Caenorhabditis elegans: one gene and its partners. The protein of the gene in region 4 purifies or fractionates together with the protein of the main gene of each other region. This does not show direct contact. Each region holds a gene or a part of one and is shown on either strand. Other genes may lie near its edges. The genes, in order: irg-7, nspg-9, K12H4.7 and nspg-7.1.

Region 1 (4,859 bases), on a different chromosome or scaffold from region 4:
GGAGAAATTACGCCGCACAACATTTTGGTGAGAATTTATTAATTTGTTGAAGGAAATGTATGTTATGAAACGAACTAGAATTCATAATATTAAATGAAACCCATATTTTCTCGATCAATGTGAATATGATGTAGCCTTAATTTTTGCGTCTTAAAAAATTGAATATTACTCTTGCACGCAGTGAATGTGAGCCCACTCAATAAAATTCTGTTCCGATTTATATATATTCTGTGAATGGCTAAAAAAGCAAACCTAGGCCGACTTTGCTGTTCATTTTTGAAGCTTTCAACATTGCCCTGTATTCTGTACCTGTGAAAATTGTGTAAATTGGCATAGAATGAGCTGTTAAAATACGTTGTAGCCTACCGAGCATGTCAGACAAGTAGTTGAACTCAAAGTTTGCTGAAGCACACTCAAAGTTTGCTGAAGGTCTTCACTCACTCTTGAACCAAACAGATGATTTTAACCTCCACCTTTTAAATTTAATTTAGCCTTCCCATTTTCATCAGTAAAACGCGATTTCTGAAATCCTATTTGTTTTTCAAACCTCAACAAAAAATACACGAACTTCATAAAACTCGAAACTCGATTTTTCAATTTACTATAATTTCAGCAACTGAAAAAGCTCAATGAAGATGTCTTCCCAATTGCCTACAACGACAAGTTCTATGTGGAAGCTCGATATTGCGGAGAACTTGGACGTCTTGCCTACTACAACGATGTCGTCGTGGGCGCCGTGTGCTGTCGCATTGACGATATTTCAGACGAGAAGTCGTTGTATCTCATGACACTTGGAACCCTTGCCGCCTACCGACAGTGAGTTTTGAGTCAGATCAAATTTACCTTATCAATGACGTTTTTTTGGTACAGTTCTACCTGAAAATGACGGTTTTAATAGCGTTAATTATTATACCAAGGGCGTTTTACGAGGTAATAAAATGTGCTATTTCAGAATCGGTATTGGTACAATTCTCATCGACTACGCATTAAAATTGTGCAATAAGATGGAAGAAATTAAGACCATGTACTTACATGTGCAGGTATCCAGAAAAAAGTGGATCTGAAAAAAAGTAATTTTCCAGGTCAACAACAAAAATGCGGTGCAATTCTATGAGAAGCATGGCTTCACCAATGACGGAATTATCGAGGACTACTATCGTATTAGCCCAAGAGACGCTTACTTGCTCATCAAACGAATCCGCCACTAAACTAGAATAGCTCATTTTGATATACAATATCTGAACTGTTTCCCTTTTCAAAATTACTTTATTTTTATCATAGCGACTGGTGGCATCCAAGCCTGGTCTGCAAGTTGGATCTCTAGCCATTGACAATTGCCAGCATGGTTGTTTTGTCTTCTTTCCCATCTTCAAGCATAACCGTGCCTACCCGTATGAAAACCATGTCTGTTTGAGATTTCCCATTTTTTCTATGCTTTATTTCATGTATCATCATTTTCAATTCTATTGACTTTTTGTTTTTTGGTAACTCTGGTAATTCGATTGTGAATTCTAAATGTCGAGGTTCTTTTATTGTCCGAGCAAATTTTATGTTTTGAATTTTGACTCATAAAAATGTAAGGCGTTTTATTGTTAACAAGAACATGAAAAATCAGGAGAGCCCGGGGGAAAATTTTATTATGCCCTTATGCATAGCATTGAAAGATAAGAAGTTGCCACGATGTTACGAGCGTGCCCAACCCATTTTCTTATTTAACGACTTTGATTGCTATAAGGTTTTCTTGATAGTACTTTTAGTCGCATTACTCCAGTGCTTCTTTTTCATTTTAAGCTGTTGATAATACCCCTTCAAGTTTGCTTCCAAAAAAACTAATATTTTTTATTTAGAAATGAGGAACTGGGTTTTGATTGCGGCCCTGGCCGTGATCTGCCTGGCGACTGAGCAGGAGCTCAGTCACAAGGACAGAATACGCGCGGTTTTGAGATCATGGAGTCCGGCATCGCAGAAGCAGTTTTTCGAGCCAGTCAGAGAGCAAAAGTACAGGACTATGGAAGAAAGGGTTATTTTTGTAAGGTCTAGCAAACAGGTGCGATTCGAATTTTTAATTTCAGTTGGACACCCATCATATTTCCAAAAGATCCATTGCTGAACCACACGTTTTGGCTGGAATGGCTACTCGAGGATGCAACAAGCCAGGGTACACCGGTGAAACTTGCCAATATCGTGAGTTTTAAGATTTATATTTCTAAAATGTTCCATGACGCAGAAATTTTTCAGCCCTCTGTTCTGCTCGCAACCCGTACATTCCGAACAACGACGGATTTGATGACATTGCAATTGATGCTTACAATCTGGCTAATTGCTCTGAATCATACATCGTCGTCGTTGACGAGACGATGCGGAATATCAAAATTGAAGTCGAGACGGCGTCAGCATTGAACCCAACATTCTATCTTCAAGCTGAAAATGGAGATCTCATATTCCCAGACGAATCCATTCAACTTCCAACAATGTTCACTGCAAATTATTTGCATCTGCCTCCCGGACAATATATGCTTGGACCACGAGCCGACACCAGCGAGCAGTTTTGTACAATGATGATGTCATCCCGCAGTAGCATTCATGTTTCCGGTGGATTCACTTCAGGAGATCAAGCCGAGCGTAGTGACTATCCAAATCTCAAGTTTACATATTTCGATACTGAGTCGGTTGTTGCAATTCATGCTCAAGGTTTGGACTTTCCTGGTCAAATCCAAGCAATTGGATTTACCGGTGCCGAGAACCACATCTCAAGATACATTCCAATGACAACCCGTTTCAACTGTACTTATCCATACATCTTGGAGAGATACACTTGCAGAAAAACCAGCAATAACGATGCTGGACACAATCTCATTCAAGTTCGATTGAACCAAAGGTGCTAAACATTCAAATTTTTGTTTTCAGGTGGAGGGTGTGACTAACTCTGGCTACAAGTTCCGTCGTATTGTTCCTTACCAATGCGTCTGTGAGTTTCTTTGTAGTGTATATAAGAAGTTTATATAAGACTTTTAAGAAAAAGTACCTTTTCAGTACCACCAGTAACAACTACTACCCCCGCTGTCCCGACAACACCTGCAGCACCGATAACTTCTTGTCAAAACGGAGGGCAGTTGCTTACTGACTCTAATGGAGTTGCATATTGTTATTGCTTTGGACTTTACTCTGGAAGTACTTGCTCGCAAATGCTCTGTGCTAACGGAGGTACAATTCATCCTTGAAATTATATATTTTTTATAATAACTATTAAGGTTTCTTGCCGACTCCAACCAGTGACCGTTGTCAATGCCCAGAAGGATTCAGTGGCTTCCATTGCCAGAATAGTATGCACTAGTAAAAATTATCTGTTAAAACATAATAACTTTGCAGTCTTGTGTACCGACATGTCAGGCTTTGACTTCAACGCTGAAAACCCAACTCTCACCCTTGTCATCCGATCAAGAAGCCAGCTCTCTGCAGTTATTGAACAAGCAACTGAGTCTGTTCAAAGTATTGTTGATCTTCTCGCTAGTGAACCTGGATATCTATCAAAGTTCATTGTTGTTCTTTTTGATAACGGAAGTGAGTTTTGATCTAAAACATATTTGACATGAAAGTGTATTATTTCAGAGCTCTTGGTGAACAGACAATATGATTCATGGGACGCTGCAATGGTCGATCTTACAAAAGCTATCCATTCCGCTCCAAGCGAAGGAGGATGTGATGATGTTGTCATGTCTGCTGTTGCGTAAGTTCACTGGTATGTAATAATGTTTAAAAATGCTAATTCATTACAGATCTGCACTTTCTCTCTATCCAACAAACAAATCCCCGATCTATGTGATTACGGACGCCACTCCAAATGATAGTGCTGAGAAGGAAACTGTGTTCCATCTGGAATCTTATTGGAGAGCACCGGTAAATAACATGAAAGCAAATAATGTTGACTCTATTTAAATTTCAGATCTACTTCATTTACGTTCAACCATCTCCAGCCGATGGATGTAACTCATCTCCAGATAACTCTGCATATAGAGATATGGTGGACATGGCTGCTCGTTCAAGTGGTAACACTTTCTATTTCAGCGACAGAAGCACTATTTCGACCGTAAGTCACTTCACTTTATATCTCCCATATCAATTAACTTTTATAGTTCTTCTACCGACACATGCTTAACACCTTGTTCCGATCCCAACTTGTTCTTTCCGGAGATTACTCACACTGCTCCAGCCAGAATCTGTACAAGTCAGCTGCCTTTGATCTTAGCGTTGACTACGTTACAATTGTAGCCACTGGAACAAATTTGACTCTAGTTGTGACAAGCCCAACAGGACAGTATCCAACTTTCAACACCGCCTTTTCTGATGGTGTGAACTATGTTTGGACGTATAACTCGCCAGTTGCTGGTCAATGGTTCTTCTCTATCAGATCACTTGAACCAGAAGCAGCTTGCACGTTTAAGGTTTATCAGAAGAAGTTCAACTTTGGCGGACAAACTCAATACAGCCCCGACTATGATATTTTCTGGTCATTCGCTTCTACTCTTACTTCGGCAGCAGGAGTTCTACGTCAGCCAGTTCTTGGATTTGATTCATCTCCAGTTTTCCATGTTACCAACTACCCTCAGTTCCTCTCAATGGACCGTGTGCATGCCAATCTTCAGATTTATGCTATTCGTGACGGAGTTCAAACCGAGGTTTACGGATCAAGTGGAATGTACAGAGATGCCTGTGAATTCAACTTCTACTTCCCACCATTCACTTGCCGTGTTCCAGAAGAAGTTCTTTACTTCAATTTCTTTGCTCGTGATAATAATGACATGGCTCTTCAACGTGCCGGAACTATGTTCTGTGCTGCCGTTCATCCTACCCCGCCACCA
Region 2 (7,682 bases), 5.1 Mb from region 4:
CGTAGAATGATGACCATTCGCCGCTGCGGCCAAGGCAAGATTTCATCGCGTCGAGACCCATCGAACACTAAAGGCGATGCGCCTTTAAGCTGGCGCTACGATACTCGCTCCGCTTTCTCGGGGAAAACATATAATTATGAAATGTAATTTTTTTTCTCAATTACATATTTATTTAGTTTGAGATTCCTACAACAACATTAATTTCTAACACATATGTATAGGTACAAATTTTGGAAATTTAGTGCCACTGTTTCTAAAAGTTCATAAAGTTGCAGTTCTAATTTTTACTTAGTAATCTTTTTCTGTTCAATAGTCAATCAAAAAATGTCTAGGCTGTGCAAAAATCGAGTTTTTCAAAGATGTTCAACACTTTTATCCTATCAATATAATGTTGAATTTTTTGTTGCCTGCAAATTGATTTAAAAAAACATGCAATTTCGGCTTTTAGAGGTTTTCTAGGCAAGATGTGAGTGTTCACTGTTTCAGCTTGTACAGAAGTAATGAAACAACTTTTTTATTGCTTCATGTGTTCTATAAAACTCGCCAGAACAGGCCGTTGAGACTGTATAAATTCTTCACTGTTTCAGCGAATTTTTAAAGAGTTCCATGCAATTTAATGTCACTTTAGTGGTCACTTTGGTGTATATTTTCAACAGACAAAAGCTTTTATGTTTCTGAATATTTCGAAACAGTAAATTCCCAATGCTGATAGTGAGTGAAATCGGAACGTCAAAACGAATTTTGCACCTATTTAAAGTTCCAATTTGCATTTAAGATTTTCAGATTTTAATTTGAAATTCCTACGAAAACATAGGTAATTTCTAGCGCAATCCCCAAGAAGAGCACCTAATTTTGTTTCGAAATTCAGTGCCACTGTTTCTAAAAGTTCATAAAGTTGTAGTTCTAATTTTCACTTAGTCATCCTTTCGTGTTCAATTGTCAATCAAAAAGTGTCTAGGCTGTGCAAAAATCGAGTTTTTCAAAGATTTTCGACACGTTTCTCCTAGCAAAATATTTTTTATTTTTTTGTCGTCTTAGAGGCGCGTTATTATCTCGGCGAGATGTAAGTTTTTACCGTTTCAGCATGTTATTAAACAGAGGTAATAAAAAATGTTGCAATTATAATCTCACATGCGATGAATATAAAACTACCGAAACATACCGTTGAGACTTTATAAATTCTTCACTGTTTCAGCAAATTTTGAAAGAGTTTCATGCAACTTATTGGCAATAGGCACATAATGTTCACTCTGGTGTATATTTCTAACAAACAAAAGCTTTTCTGTTTCTGAAGATTTCGAAACAGTAAATTCTCTGATAGTGAGTGAAATTGGAACGTCAAAACGAATTTTGCACCTATTTAAAGTTCCAATTTGCATTTAAGATTTGAAGCTTTTAATTTAAGATTCCTATGACCATGTAAGTAATTTCTAGCACAATCCCCAAGAATATCACCTAATTTTTTTCGAAATTTAGTGTCACTGTTTCTAAAAGTTCATAAAAGTGTAGTTCTTTTATGAAGTGTAGTTCTTTTTGAGAAATTAACAGAAAACAACCACACCCATACTCCCAACCCCAAATCGTCATTTCGGAAATTCTGCCACTTTTTAATGCCATTTGTGTTGGCTCTCGCATGTGTGCCGACACCTTGATAAGGATTTTATTGGGGAATTGGGAGTCTGATAAGATGTAAAAGTGCCACGAAGAATTGGTTGACACTTGGTTTTGCTATTTGAATTAGAATAGTTACCGAGAAGAAGCTCGTCGAAATGAAAGGATTTGTGGTTCTAGGTGAGCAAATTTTTGTTGTATATTGGAAAATAAAAAAAAAGATAGAAGAATATTAATTTTTTGAAACGGAAAAAAATATTTTTAAAAATTCGAAAATGTTTATTTAAAACATTGTCTGTTTCATATCATTGTTTTCAACTCAAATGAAATATTTAAATATTTTGAACCGTTTCCATAGTTTGTATCGTTAAAATATTGAATTTTAGAGCTTTAAAAGTGTTCTGTCAATGTTCTGAAAAAAATTAGAATCTTCGAAAAATTTTGAGATTTTTCTTTTTTGGTCAACTTACAAAATTTTTAACGGCAAAAACTGAGTAATAATTCATGATATTTGATTTTTTTTAGCCTTGAATTAGAGGTTTTTAACATTTTTCCTATTTAGCTATTGTCACATTTCCAGCGCTACTAAAAAAATTTGAATTTTTAAATCACTATTGTGAAACAGGATTTTTTTTCCAATTTAAATTTTTAATTCAATAAGGTCTATCAATCTCTGGTTGTATTACTCTTTTGAGCACAGTTCTTCTAGAAATAACATCTACGACTGACAAAAAAAAAGCAAAATCAACCAAACAGCCAAGATGTGGGCGGAGTTTAATATGAAGTTTTCTTGGTACTTTTTAAAAGTGTGAATCTATTTTTGTCTTGAATTCAATTTTGAAAAAATATACTCCACCCATATCTTAGCTTCTTGTATTTTGGCTCTGAATTTAAAAGTTTGTTTTAAAAAATTTTGTTTCATACCATTGTTTTGAGCTTCAAGGTTTTGATTTTAATTCAATTTTCACTCGAAGAAAATTGAATTAACATGAAATTAAATTAGCAAACTGTGAATATAGATTAAGTGGGGACTTTGATTCAATATGAACACTTATCTAATGGAAAAAACACTCCAAGTAATTTTAGAGCTTCGAAATGTGATGCCAAAGTTTTCGACGAATTATCGGTTTTTGTTTTAATCTGCGCTTATGCAAAATTTTTGAAGCAAATTTTGCATTTTTTGGCTCCTAAACTGTTTAGCTACAAGTATTTGAAACTAAATTAGAATATAAAAATCTCAGAAACTTTTTTATAATTAGAGGTACTTTTATCAGCGATACATTGGAGAACATATTGGTTTTTCGAAATCACAATAGTGAAACAGGAATTTTTTTCCAAATTTAAGTAAACAAGATGTAAGTTCTATTACACACACTTATTTTACAATTAGTAAAATTTTATTTTACCGCAAAAATTGCAATACAAAATTGCCCAAACAACCAAGATGTGGAAGGGGTCTATAATTACATTTTCTTGAAATTTTAAAAACTTTAGCTCTGCTTTTTCTATACTTGAATTTATGTAAAATTGTGACTACTACTCAACCTTAAAAAAACAAAAATTTTCAAGAAATAGACTCCGCCCATATCTTGGTTCTTTTTTTTCTTTGGTTTTATAATTTTTCTCGTTTTTTTTCTTGAATGAATGAAAATACGCAAGAAGTGAAAAATAATACATATCACAAACGTCACAAATTTTCTAACTAATGGGCAATGCTCTTACTTTCCTTATTTGGCGATTTTCCAAAAATGTAAAATTTTTTGAATTTGAAGTACGAAAATTTTCCAACCTCAAAAAAAATTTTCCTCCAACTTTATGAATCTAAAAACTTCAAATTTTCAGCCCTTGCCCTCTTGGCTTCTACCCAAATTTCTGCTCAAACTCCTCCAACATGCGTCGACGCAAAATTCCAAGCTTGCCAGTACAATATGGCTCAAAGCCTCGGGCTCAATGATACGGTATCTGCTCAATTGTTCAAGGACTATACTATCATGTACAACTACTTCCTGTACATGTTCGGAAGAAATCCAGGACAGACTGCCGATATGTTGACCGTTTGCAAGTTAGTCTTGAAAATTTATCAATGTTGAAGTTAGGAAGAATATTGATTTTAATACTTTGTGAAACAGTAACTTTTCGATTAAAAAAGTAATTTTGTAATTTTTTCTACATGTCCAACAGCCCAACGAGACATTTGAAAATTCAGAATTTTTAACAAAACTTTGAAACAATGTTTGTTGGAAATTATAGAAAACAAACAAGACCGGTTTTGAAAAAACAGTATTTACTTCTTTGAATATTTTTAACAGTTTGAAATAGAGAACTTGGAGCATTTTTTTTTTCCAATTTTTTAACACACCCTAGAATTATGTTTTTAATAAAGTTTAATTGTAACTAGAAATCGTGTAATAGTGAGAAATGGTTCTCTCAAATTCCATAATTTTCGAGTGAATGCTTTAAATTGTAAACACTATAGGAAGTATCTGTTCTATCGATGTTTAAGTTGAAAATATCAATTAAAAAGTACACCAAACAGTAATTTTTCGAAGAACAAACATTTTTTCCATATTATGATTCCTTTAAAAGTCGAATGTTTATTGAAGAGAGTGACTAGTTATTTGGAAAGTCCCAATATTTTTTTGAAAAATTTGAAACAGCGATTTTTTTTTAAATTATATGCAACATAAAAGGAAAGAGCACTGCAAATTCGAAACTGTTTGAGAAAATTTTAATGTTTTAAATGGAAAAAATGTTCTGTACAATTTCACTAACTTTGTAAATTCAATTCGATTTCCCGAAAAGTTAGTAATCCAACGTTTATTTCAGACTTTAAGCGCATTTTTCAAAACAAAAAATGCAATTGGAAATATTTTAAAACAGATCGAAAATTCTCACTGAAAAATCAAAAATTATAAAAAATACTTTACTGTTTCACAAACATTATAATACAGTTTTTAAAAATTGTTTTCCACTCATAAAATAATAAAATTCCAATTTTCTAAAATTTCAGCAGTCTCGAAACTTTCAATCTCTGCATGCACGGAAACCGTGGATGTTTGGACATTTACAACCTAATCAAGAAGACTGACATTAATAATGTAAGTTTTGGAATTTAAAAATACGAACATTGGAACAGCAATTAGTCTTTTTCAAACAAAAAAAAACAGAAGTATTTCACACAGAAAGCCAAGAAAAATGAGAAGAAAATCTTCGAAAATTGCAGGCTTACGCGGTGGAGGCAACCTATAGACAATACTCGTCCTTCAACTGTGGCCCAGGAATTAATAGTTGGGTTTTTTTTTTTGGAATTTTGAGGGGAAAATGTAGAAAAATTTGGGGATTTTTTTGAGTTTTACATTGAAATGTAGTGCGAAATCTATTTTTCGAACAGATATTAGCAGTTTACCACATTAAAAGTTATTGGAAATTTGAAGTATTTGAGTTAAATAATATTATTGAAAAAATAAACTTGGAGTTTTCACAGCAAATTGAAACAGTAAAATTTTTTTTTTTGGAAAAAAGTATTGAATTTTAAATTTTATAAAAAAATGAAATTTTAAATGAATTTCGGAAATTCTGTAAATCTAGTATCTCGTTGAAATGAATTTAATGGTTTTCGAATTTTGTTACATTGATTTTAGATAAATTGATTTTTTATTCAAGAAATAATAAAAATAATAAACTAGACAATCTGAAAATAATATGAAACAGAAAATAATTTTTCGTATAAATTAATTTTCAAATTAAACTATTTAACTATCTAATTTTCGTTGTTTTTTGCACAACGATACTAAATTTGAGATGTTCAATCAATCCAATGGAGCTTTGTCGCAAAACTATGTTTATTAATATCCTACTGCGACTAACTCAAAAAAAATTAACTCGAAGATTTGAAAACACATTGAAACACTAGAAATTTTTCAAAAAAGTTGAAGAAGTGTTACCATAAAACTTGTCAAAAAGTAAATTAGTGTACCTATGTCCAGTTTGTAGGCGTGGCTTGCGATGCTCCGCCCTTTTCTCTCAGAGCAAGTAAATTTTGTGGTAAATGCAGTTATTCGTTGAATTTTAATTTTTTTTAAAGTTCTGTAATAACATCATTACCATATATAAAGCGCTATTCCGTTTGTCTCTGACGTCACGGGTGACGTCACAACATTCAGCGCAAAAATTCAACTGAGAAAATTTTGAGGCTACTTATGATGAATGCGCACCCGACATCGATCGAGGTACGCGATAAACCACTCGACACTTTCCGAAAACATTTTGGCGGGAATTCAAATTTTAATTTTTCTAAAACATTTTGGCGGGAATTCAAATTTTAATTTTTTAAAATCATTTTGGCACTTATTCCGTGTGTCCATAGTTTGTAGTCTATGTAGTCTTTGTAGTCTGTGACGTCACAGCTTAAAGAGGCAATGCGTTTTGAGATGTTTGAGAGATATTGGTTTGGGGTTAGAAGGGGGATATGGTCGGGGTACTGTAGTAGTACTGTAGTTTTAGAAAAATAAACAATTTTTCGAAAACATTTTGGCGGGAATTCAAATTGAAATTTTCCGAAAACATTTTGACGGGAATTCAAATTTAAATGTTTTAATAATATTATTGTGGAATACTTTAGAACACTCTGGAAAATTGGAGAAAATTCTGGAATGTTCCAGAACCTTCTTGGAAATTTGGGAAAGTTCTGGAATCTTCTTGAATCATCAGGAAAATTGGGGAAAATTCTGGATTGTTCTAGAACCTTCTCGAAAATTCGAGAAAATTTTGGATTGTTCCAGAATCTTTTGAAAAACTCGAGAAAATTCTGAATGTTTGTGGCGAGACCTATCGTGGTTAGACCCATCATGGTGAGACCCTTAAAACTTTCGGTGGGAAATTGCTGGAAATAAATATTTTGCCGCGAAGTTCGAATTTAAATTTTTTTGAAATCATTTTGGCGGGAATTCAAACTTCAATTTATTGAAAACATTTTGAAGAGGTGTTGATATAGGAGTTAGTGGAGAATAATGTCAAGGTACTGTAGTGGTACTGTGGGGGGGGGGGGTACTGTTGGTAGGTGCCCGCGCCGTAGGCGCGGTCAACGGCTGGTTGGTAAACACGAACAACCAATAACAAAAAATCACTTGACAATTTGAGAATAATATGAAACAGACTTTTTTCTCAGTCAAACCGTTAGTGATCTAATTGTAAAAAAAAACATTTTTAATTAGATTTCGAGCAAAGTTAACACAGTCATAATTAGAAGGGTACAAATTCTAATTTAAAATGACTTTTCTAATTTAATTGAATTAGAAATGAAAAACTAATTTAGCATGGGGGAAATAAAATACAGTTTGGTATTTCAAATTAGTAATGCTTGTTAGTAATGTGCCAAATTTAAAATGGTTTTTATCTAATTGGATCACTAATGGTTTGACTGAGTTGTCGCTCAAATTAATTTTTTAATAATTCGAAAATGTATAATTTTCGTAGTTTTTTCTCAAATAGACTAAAGTTTACGCAATTTCGAATGCAGAAGAATCGGCTAGAATATTGGAAAAAAAATTTTGAAGTTTCAAAAGCAAGTTGAAACAGTCGATAATTTTTTTTTTTAAAAACCGAAATTTTACATCTTAAGTAATCGGCAAAACATGTCTAAAACAAAATTAATCTATGTCCATTTTGTAGGCGGAGTTTACAAGGTTCCGCCCCTTTCTTAATGAGCAAATAGACTTTCGGTAAATGTAGTGTCTCGTTGAAATAAATTTTATGGTTTTTGAATTTTGTTACAATGATTTTACATAAAAGGATTCTTATTGAATAACCAATAATAAAAAATAACTTGACAGTTTGAAAATAATATGAAACAGAATATAATTTTTCGCATAAATTACTTTTCAAATTAAACTAATTGTCTAATTTTCGTAGTTTTTTGCACAAAGATACTAAACTTGAAATGTTCAATCAAAATTTTTTGTTGCGAAAAAATAATATTCGTTCAGTGGAGCGCATTTTCTTTATTGTAAATTTTATATATTCAAGTTAAGCTCTAAATAGTCCACATAGCCATCGAATATTGAAAATAAATT
Region 3 (5,103 bases), on a different chromosome or scaffold from region 4:
TGTGGTCGGAGCTTTGACTGATCAAAGAGCAAAAGATGTATTTGTTGTAAAATCAGAAGAAACAGAAATGACACCGTATACACATAAGGTAATTAATCCTCGTAATTCAGTAAGGAGAAAATTAATCTCATATTTTCAGATAATTTGCTCAGCATTCAATTCGCGACAAGCTTCAGCAATTTCTGAAAATCTTCGATCTCTTCTAAAAATTGACGGAGTGTCGAATGGATCCATGTCACATGCACGAAGGAGCACAAAACGAAGCAATGGATGGTATGTCAGTGAGGTGGAAAGAGTTCAGGTATTACTTCCTACATATTATATTTTTTAATGCCTATACTTCAGGTGCACGTAATGAGTGAAGAATGCCGTGAGAAGTACGATTTGGAAGCAATTTGGGCTGGCGATGATCGGATCTTAGACGAGATTGATGAGGAGAAACAGAAGATTTTGCTGCCACCGAGACGATAATGTTTTCCTTTTGTTATTTATAACATTTAGATTATTGTTATTATTTTTGTAATATCGTTGATATGAAATATTAGAGTCAAATTTTCATTTCTATAACATAAAATCCATAACAATTAATTAGCATGAAGCCATCCATCAAGAACATCCGAGATTCTTTGGCGGGCGTTTGTCAAGTACATACTATCCAAGCTGGATGCTCCGTACATGTCAGCACAATGGGCGGTTCCTGGAATTAATGTAATTATACTATTTTTGTACATAAAGTTCAAGATTACCATTGATCACAACTGGCACAATATTGCTGTTCGAGCTTGTCAATTTTCCAAGTGCATGCCATGGATCAATATCTCCATTTGGTAGAAGAATTCTGTCAGTGTTCAAATTATCTCTTCCTCCATAATATTGATTAGTGTAATCTACAGATGTCTGAACTTCTTGACTATTGTATGCAGCTCCATAGATAGCAGTACATTCATCAATATAATATTGAGCTGGAAGATTGCTTACACCTCCGAACCATGGTCCAGCAGTAGCTGATGAAGTTGATTGATAATATCCGAACTCAGTGCAAGTCTGCCAAACCCATGCTCTGTCAGATTGAGCCTCTCCGAATGTTTCATCTTTCATGAAAGAAATGAAACCATTGTAATCAATATCATTGCATCCGAAATATCCACTGACTTGGTTAAAATAGTCATTGACTTGTTTCAATTTCTGAAGTGGTGTTGATTTAGTGTTAATGTGATAACGGCAAATGGCATGAGAAATTGTGAGTTGAGTGGCAAACGATCCAGCGGCATCACCAGAATATTGAACAACCTCCATGTATGGAGAATATACTGTTTCCCAGAAATACTTGAGTGATTTATCGTCCATTTGAATGTCTTGGCAGAGACTGAAAAATTGTTGCTTATTTTACAATATATATTTCAATTTGACGCATTGAATGAACACGCCAAGTTATACGCACTTCTCAAAACATTTGTGACTAGAATAGCTGACAAAGGAACTATGTAGAGACTGGAACTTCCAGAGAAAAGTTTCAAAAAAGTTAGAGCGGTTAATTCAGTTTGAAACGCGCAGGAATGGGGGGAATACAGAAGGTTCACTCGAGGTTTTTGGCTTTGGCTAACTAGTAAGCATACATCATAATAAACTCACTGGAAAGCAGTTTTCAATTGTTTGCGTCCATCGGAAGTTTGAAGAAGAGAAGCAACCAAGTTGAATCCTTGGGTCACACTGGCGGCACACTCAGTTGAGTTACGGGTAATTGAGTTTTGTACAACCTCAAGATACTCTGAAATAGAAAGTAATTGGAAGTAAATTGCTGCGTATCTTTTTAACCTTTGAAGTCAACCTCGGCTTGAACTGGACCACTGGATCCAACAGCAGCATACACCAATTCTGGATGCTTTGCACGAGTCCATGCGGCCAAAGCTCCAGAGTAGGATCCTCCGAAAGTGACCCACTTGGCATTGGCCAATTGTGGGAACTTGGCGGTCATTGCCTTAATGAAAGCGGCGGCATCCTCAATAGCTTGGGCAGAAGACAAGTATTTCAGGTTTGGTACGGACATGTCGCTGGAAAACATTAATAATAGGGAGTTATTTCGTAAAAAGAAATACCTGGTTGGGTGAGTCTCTCCATAGAATCTGTGCTCAATATCAAAGACCCAGGCTCCTTGTTTGGCAGCCAAGTTGGTGATTTCAAGTCCAGCTTTAAAAATAAAATGTCTTGTATGATAAAAAAGTAAACTAACGATAAGAAACCCAATAACTAGACTCTGGTCCTTCTCCTCCAAGCATCAAGAAAGCTGGTCCTCCAGCCTTGTACCATTGGTTGTTATGATAATATCTCTGCTGGAAAGTCTTTCCGACGGAAGAATCAAAATGATCAAGAGTTTGAGTGAAAGTAGATGAGACTACATTGTCAAAGTTGATCATATGAGAAACGGAAGACATCTGGAATAGACTTTTTTTGTTCTGTACATTGGATGTTTGAACACTTACTGGTGGAGTCTTCTTCATTCCTCCACGTGGACGTCCACGGATCATGTTACGACGAACACGCTGCTCATTGCTTGGAGCAGACAATACCTGGGTCAGCACACATGCTGAAATGTTAAGTTATTCAGTGTGAAACTACAGAAACTATGGTAAACATAGAACTGAACTTAAAATTTATTAATTCGATGGTAAATAATGTTATCAGTTTTGAAACCTTAGTTTTTAGACAGTTGCTCGTCTCGATAAAAATGAATCCACGAATTATAAATTTTGTGTATTTCGTTGTAAAGATTAGTAGAAAATTCTTTTGAAAGATTCAACAATACAACATTTGAGAACATTGGCTAGACTAGATCTAGGTCTAGATAGAGTATATTCCCGTCGAAAACAGTTTCCAGATTCCTTATTTCCAGAAAAATATGTGAGACTTCATAATTTGTTTTTTTAGATTTTGAGTAATAAAAATATGTTCTGGCCATATAGCCTAATGGTCACGAATTTTAGAAAAAAACGACTCATGAAATTTACGGAACTGGCATTGAATCTGGGCAACTTCACTTTTAAGCTCCTCAAAGAGAAAGTAGCTACAGAAATTCTAAAACGATGTTTAAAATTAAATTTACCTGCCAGTAGCACTGCCAAAAGAGTCTTCATGTTTCCACTTTCTAGAATAAAAAGAAAAAGTGAAATAAAGCAAGAGTTTTCAGTTGATAAGCACCCACTTATACACTTTTCCTTATCAAATAATTTATCGCTGATTTGCGAGTTCAATTCCGTTTTCGCTATCACATTTAAATGATGATTTTACTGATTCGTGGCACAACTACATTCGAAATACTAAATCATCTTTTAGACTGACGTACTTGCAAACTGGGTTCTTAGTTTACAGGAATACTGGGCCAAAGTTTGAAAAATAAAATAACAAAGCCAATTTCAGAGAAACTGCAAAGATCAATAAAAAGTTGGAATTCGAAACGTTTAATTGTTTACTGGAACTATCAAATTGAATATAATCTTTTCAAAAATAAAATTTCCATATTCATAACATCATACCTAAGCATTTTCTGTCAGGATATGGAAGAAAATAAAAGGAAAAGTTGGTTGAATAAATAAATTACTAATAGAGGAAATACGGTATTCTTCGAAAAACACTTGCAACAAGCCAGTCATCATTTCAAATTTTTTTAAAATTCCGTTTCTCCATTCCATCATTTTCCATAAATATGTGCACTGAACTGTTTTACCTGCTCTCACTTGACTTCTTCTTCTATTCTACCTTCTTCAATCTTATTTCTTTTCCGTTGTTCGCAAACACTAGCCACATCACGCCTCCCGGTTGAGGAGATGAGAGGTAGGTGCTCATCTATTCAATACTCCGTTTTTCAAGTTTTAAATCGAGACATTTGTTCAAAATTGGTGAATTAAGGTCTCGCTATGTTCTCGCAAGTTCCAATTTTTATTGATTTGATTTCTCATCACGATCGTAGGTGCTAAAAATTTGTCAAGAATTCTCACAGAAATCTAAACTCTAAAAATATTATTTCCCTCTATAATTTGCTAGCTTTCAAACGTTTATTTCTACATATTGAATTTAATTCTAAATTTCCAAATTACGTGAATGCTGCCTAAAGTCTCGATTACGCAATAGTTACATAACCAAAGATGTGTCTTGACACTCCTTCAACTTTTTTTCCCAAAATTCTCGAGGTAAAAAAGTGAAAAAAAGGGCAGTTAGAGACCACCTGGGTGTTGATGCAAGTCTTGCGTTGTGTCTTTTTTATACATTGAAATTTGGAAAAAAAATGCTTGAGAAATGAAATTATGGTAGAATACGGTAGAACTTGTATTTCCAAACTGTGAACGTGATGCATTTCTTGTTGGAATCCTTAGAGAATACGATATATTAGCAAACATCAAGAATCTTCCATTTTCCTTTTTCTTTCAAACTTTCGATTCCGTTAGCCATAACTTGCAATACGAGACAGTTCAAAAAGAGAAAAAACATTGAAAAACCATAGCATCTTCATAAAAAGTGCAATTAAATATATTGAGTAACCGTCTAAATGGTCATCTAGTTTTGTTCCGCCGTCACGCAACTATTAAATTCTCCATCTTTAGCCAATTATTATTATTCTTGGGTGTTATGCAACTTTTCTATTCGTACAGATTTTTCTTCATTTGGTTTTGGTTTTTAATATTCTTTTTTTTTGTTTTTTAACGTGTTAAAAAATTGTGAAAATGATTACAAAATATCAAACTAAATATTTTCCAATTTCGAAAAAATCCACACACATGTATTTATCGAATTCTATTCAAACATAAATTTCCCACTATTTTTTTGTCCAAAACAGAAAGAGTGGAATGTGTAAGATACAACTCAGTTTTTCACAAGTATCCAATCCAATTATGTGCACAGTCTCGAGTTTTAATGGTATGGGAACTTGGGATTTGAGATAATAAAAATAGTTGGTTACGGTGGTTGATGAGAATTTTTATTTGTTGCTGCATTGAGACTAAGAGAGTTGGATATCACGTGATTTCTCAATTTTCATAATTATCTACTATTGTATAAGTTGCTGGAAAATTTTTGACAAAATAATTGTTTTATGAACACTTACCGAAGGGG
Region 4 (4,187 bases):
TTATAACTTTTTCAATCGTTTATTTCTCGAAGCAAGAGAAACGATAGGATACATTTTATTCGCTATCATTATCAACAATATACTGTCTACGTGTGGGCAACTTATTAATGCCCTGCTAACAGTACCCTTCCGGGCGCGAGTCGAAATAATGCTTGAGTGCTACATTGGCACTTTTTTGGGTATTGAAGATTCTCCGCTCGTGGACACGGGTCATATTTGAAAACGACTAGTATTCAGATGGAGTGAGGTCTGGAGAATACGGTGCGTGAAGGAGAACCATCCATCCATGGCTGGTATGTTCCTACTTTTCCTGTTTCGAGAGGTGGGAACTAGCGTTGTTTTGCTGAAAACAGAATTGCTTGTCCATCAGGGGTGAACCATCGATGACTTCCTTCATGTTCCATGGTTAGATAACGTAGATGTCCCCACTAATCATTTTGCCCTCAGGCAGCAGTTCCCAGTAGAAAGGGCCCTACACTCCCCTCCACACTGAGAGCATGCCTTTTTTGGGGTGAAGGTCGGGTTTGGCGGCATCCTGTGGTGTCTCTCATTCTCCAATCCACTGAGCACGCTTGTGGTTGTTATCGTAGAGGACCCACTTCTCGTTACCAGTAATGAGTCGGCCCAACCATCGATCGGCCCCGTGGAAAATGAGGAGGGAAAAGGAATCACCCACTAAAAAATCAAGATTCGCCTGTGTCAAGGTGTGAGGTATGAATTGACCCATAAGTTTCTTTATTCCAAGAGGTTCCCAGCCTCGTACAATGTTGGTTTGACGGGACCCAAGTGTGGTTGACAGCTCACGGGTGATTTGGAAAGGATCCGTTGCCATGGCTTTCTGCAACGTGTCCAAATCCAATTTATGGGGTCTCAGAGTCTTCGAGAGAAAAGTCGTCCTTCTCGAAGCTTTGGAACCAATTGCGTATGATATTATAGTAGGGAACATGTGAATCATAAACATTCTTGAGGAGACTTTCCGAATCCTTCATCGTGGTATGAGAGAGGAAGAGGTACATCAAACCATATCGGATGTGGATCGCACTAGGGACATACATCGTTGGTTGACTAACTTCAGGCCAGAGGAAAGGGAATGAGGTGTTGCTTACAATGAAGTTCCTACTCTTGTTGTTATTCACTAGCAACGAGGGAATACCAAAGTGCAACTGTGGCGAGCGGTGGAAAAGCAAACCCAGTTATAAAGACTTCCGGACCAACCTAATAGAATTTCTGAAATTCCCAATAATGAATTAAAATCCACTTCATTATTATTATTACATCTCCATGAATTACGGACTTACTGTCAATGGTCCTGGCACGATTGAAAATTTCCCGCTACAGTACCCAAAATTTCTCAATGTTCTTTAATGTTTTTTTGGTTGTTATTTTTCTGGAAAACTTTTTAACTTCATGGAAATTATCAAAAATACGTCAAACATTATAAGAAAAATGACGCTCGAATTTGCAATTTCTGGACACTATATTTTGCAATTTATACTGGTCATTTTACTTATTTGTTCACACATCATTTTATTTATTTTTTAATCTTCCGGTGTAGCTCTTTCTTGTGACAAATAAACAATATTATATTATATTATCGTGTTTCCTCCCTTAGTCATTCAAATCTCCAAAAAAACATTAGTGTCACATACAACTGAGACTAAGTAAAGAAGAACCGGTTATTATTTTTGAAATCTAACTTCAAGCTGTCGCATTATTCAAAGTTCTATATTTATATCCAATAAAGCTTAAGAAAAAAAAAATTAAGATGACATCACCAATCCCCTTCAAAATTCTGCACTTACCGTCAATTTCCTCCCTGAACCTGAACGATATTATAAATTATTTAGAAAATGCGTACAATAGCATTGGCTCTTCTTGTACTTGTGGGAGTTTCCCAAGCAGCATTCCTTCTACCATATTCTCTTCCAAATGATCTTATTCAATTAATGGCTTTCCGTGAGACTCCTCAAAATGCTGCCATTTCTGCTTGTCAGGATATTCAATTCAATTATTGTCAGGTACATTTAATATATCCAATACACCTTTTACGGGTGCAAATTCGATAGCGGTTTGTAGAAAAATAAGTATTTGTATGTAATGAAAACTGATCATCAAAAATAAAATTATAGTTTCAATGAAAATTTTCTAGACAACGTTCAATCAGTTCTTTGGAATGGATGATTCTATTTCTTGGCGCAATGGATCTTACATTTTCAATACAGTTCAGAAATATTTGGAAATGAATGTTACAGAACTTATCAAGGTTTGCAAGTGAGTTGAAACATTGAATATTGTGGTATTGTGGTGATCTGTTAGGAAAAATTTATTTGTGAACGATCTTACTTTAAAAAATGTTATATCACTTCTGAAACTTTCGCCATTTGGTTTTATATGTGTCTATGTTAGCCATGATAATTATGTTCAATTTGTTAAATTTCAATTTCCTCGTCGTTTTTCACACTTAACATGTTCCACTATAACAGTTGAAAGTTTCATTGTCAAATTGACCGGGCATAAGACAAATTAATCATAGACTCATTTCTAGGCTTCATTGTTTATTACTGCTTACTACTGTTTAAATTTTAAATATTTAGTGAACTCATAAGTATTGCATGCTAATAAATTCAATAAATTCAAACATTCAAATCCAATGACACTTTCAGCACCCGTACTCAATTCTACCAATGCCTCGGATCTTCTTATTATACCTGTATGAATCTCTATACTCTTCTCAACAAGCCACAACCTGATTTCTCGAACAGTGAGTAAATTCATAGATATCGAGATTTTCGACCTGTCGTGAATGGCAATTCGAACGTACAACATTTTTTTCATATTATAATTGAAATTTATTTTTTAATGATTATATTTCAGCATTCGATTATGTTAGAACATTCCGTGGACTCGAGTGGATGTGCGTCGGAGGATTCTCTGGTAAGATTCACCAAAGACTTCTTTACCACTATTTTACTATTTCCAGAAGTAGTAAGCCAATGGGACTGTCTCGGTACTTTCCCAACTACAAATGCGTATAACTCTTGCATTCAAAACTTCAATCAAACAGTGTCTGCTGGAAACTTCTGCCCGTGAGTTATGAATAGTAAGAATACATCAAAAGTGGAATATGGTTAATGCATTTTGTTTTAAAATACTTAAAATGAAGAACAATTTGCGAAGGACTGAAAATTTCAATTTAAAAATTCGCGATTTCCCAATTTTTTACAAATCTCCCTGTTTGAATTATCTCCAAAGCAAATTCGCAATTTTACTCGTACTCCACCATTTGAACTATGTTTGGAAAAATACTATCTACTTTATTCAATTCAATTGTTCATATTCAGAGCAGTTCAACAAACTGGAAGCTGTTTGAATGACGCCTACAATGCCGCCTGTGGAGTCGGAGGAGTGAGTTTTAAAAATCTTCTGATACACAGAAAGGCAAAATAACAAAATTTAGAATTCAAAGTTGAAACTTTTCTGAAAAAAAGTTTAAATAATTGCAGGCTGGATACTTTGGATGTGAGAACTTCCGTATCACTTTCGACAACTCTTGCTGGGGACTCAGATGCATGGTTGATTCAACCAACTAATTCTTACTTTTCTATCAAGAACATTTAATATCTTTTTAAAGTTTAATATGATAAATTGGATTTGTTCGTTAAAAATGTTAAAATTTGAAGTTGTGGGTAATACTGGTCTGGAGTTTTCGCAACTATAATGAAACATCTTACTAAAAAGACTGAAACAAAAACAACTGTAATTATATAAATCTGTCCGAGGCGTCACAAAAGCGTCTCGCCTCTTTCCTATTTGCGTCATATCTGTTCTTTTCTATACTATTTGCTGCCACATCGACCTTAGAATTTATGACCTGAAGAAGTATATTTAAATCGAAAGAAAACAAATGCAAAAAAAGAAAAATAAGATTTTATTCGAATAATCAATTAATTTAGAACATTAAAAATCAAGTAGCACGCTTTCCACAAACAAATCCTCTGTACATGTCCTTCCAAGTAAGTGGACAAACTTGTGAAAGTATTTTCCATGTTCATAAGGGCTGGTTCCAGTTGAAGCCCAAATCCACATAAGAGCACAATTATGGGAATATCCGCTGGTTGGACCCAGTTGTGGTTCTCCCTTACTCCATTGAATACCTTGCTGACCTCCATCATTATTTCCATCGGTGA

The links.
Region 1: the proteins of nspg-7.1 (region 4) and irg-7 fractionate together in Caenorhabditis elegans (co-fractionation; one large-scale study listed by BioGRID). This does not show direct contact.
Region 2: the proteins of nspg-7.1 (region 4) and nspg-9 fractionate together in Caenorhabditis elegans (co-fractionation; one large-scale study listed by BioGRID). This does not show direct contact.
Region 3: the proteins of nspg-7.1 (region 4) and K12H4.7 fractionate together in Caenorhabditis elegans (co-fractionation; one large-scale study listed by BioGRID). This does not show direct contact.

The regions. Positions count from the first base shown.
Region 1 is NC_003284.9:3,240,615-3,245,473, reverse strand, and holds the start of irg-7 (Protein irg-7), read left to right. Parts: upstream 1-1,837; 5' UTR 1,838-1,849; coding exon 1,850-2,029; intron 2,030-2,072; coding exon 2,073-2,184; intron 2,185-2,238; coding exon 2,239-2,861; intron 2,862-2,907; coding exon 2,908-2,968; intron 2,969-3,033; coding exon 3,034-3,204; intron 3,205-3,251; coding exon 3,252-3,323; intron 3,324-3,369; coding exon 3,370-3,561; intron 3,562-3,609; coding exon 3,610-3,727; intron 3,728-3,776; coding exon 3,777-3,897; intron 3,898-3,943; coding exon 3,944-4,087; intron 4,088-4,133; coding exon 4,134-4,859. Other genes in the region: F40F4.7 (N-terminal methionine N(alpha)-acetyltransferase NatE), read left to right, coding at 1-27, 614-816, 953-1,040, 1,083-1,208.
Region 2 is NC_003282.8:14,455,231-14,462,912, forward strand, and holds the start of nspg-9 (DUF19 domain-containing protein), read left to right. Parts: upstream 1-1,669; 5' UTR 1,670-1,769; coding exon 1,770-1,791; intron 1,792-1,792; exon of another isoform or gene 1,793-1,813; intron 1,814-1,950; exon of another isoform or gene 1,951-1,972; intron 1,973-2,169; exon of another isoform or gene 2,170-2,190; intron 2,191-2,572; exon of another isoform or gene 2,573-2,593; intron 2,594-2,710; exon of another isoform or gene 2,711-2,734; intron 2,735-3,292; exon of another isoform or gene 3,293-3,317; intron 3,318-3,453; coding exon 3,454-3,673; exon of another isoform or gene 3,674-3,694; intron 3,695-3,775; exon of another isoform or gene 3,776-3,796; intron 3,797-3,877; exon of another isoform or gene 3,878-3,898; intron 3,899-3,956; exon of another isoform or gene 3,957-3,977; intron 3,978-4,081; exon of another isoform or gene 4,082-4,102; intron 4,103-4,196; exon of another isoform or gene 4,197-4,221; intron 4,222-4,417; exon of another isoform or gene 4,418-4,438; intron 4,439-4,583; exon of another isoform or gene 4,584-4,604; intron 4,605-4,621; coding exon 4,622-4,709; intron 4,710-4,834; coding exon 4,835-4,898; intron 4,899-5,039; exon of another isoform or gene 5,040-5,063; intron 5,064-5,255; exon of another isoform or gene 5,256-5,276; and 11 more.
Region 3 is NC_003281.10:8,047,910-8,053,012, forward strand, and holds K12H4.7 (Putative serine protease K12H4.7), read right to left. Parts: upstream 3,173-5,103; 5' UTR 3,132-3,172; coding exon 3,101-3,131; intron 2,585-3,100; coding exon 2,481-2,584; intron 2,433-2,480; coding exon 2,231-2,432; intron 2,188-2,230; coding exon 2,097-2,187; intron 2,052-2,096; coding exon 1,816-2,051; intron 1,769-1,815; coding exon 1,633-1,768; intron 1,367-1,632; coding exon 747-1,366; intron 698-746; coding exon 585-697; 3' UTR 541-584; downstream 1-540. Other genes in the region: mals-1 (Mitochondrial Assembly of ribosomal Large Subunit), read left to right, coding at 1-88, 140-301, 346-471.
Region 4 is NC_003282.8:9,328,516-9,332,702, reverse strand, and holds nspg-7.1 (DUF19 domain-containing protein), read left to right. Parts: upstream 1-1,847; 5' UTR 1,848-1,850; coding exon 1,851-2,018; intron 2,019-2,149; coding exon 2,150-2,271; intron 2,272-2,663; coding exon 2,664-2,761; intron 2,762-2,874; coding exon 2,875-2,934; intron 2,935-2,980; coding exon 2,981-3,086; intron 3,087-3,341; coding exon 3,342-3,405; intron 3,406-3,503; coding exon 3,504-3,590; 3' UTR 3,591-3,663; downstream 3,664-4,187. Other genes in the region: clec-183 (C-type lectin domain-containing protein), read right to left, coding at 3,958-4,187.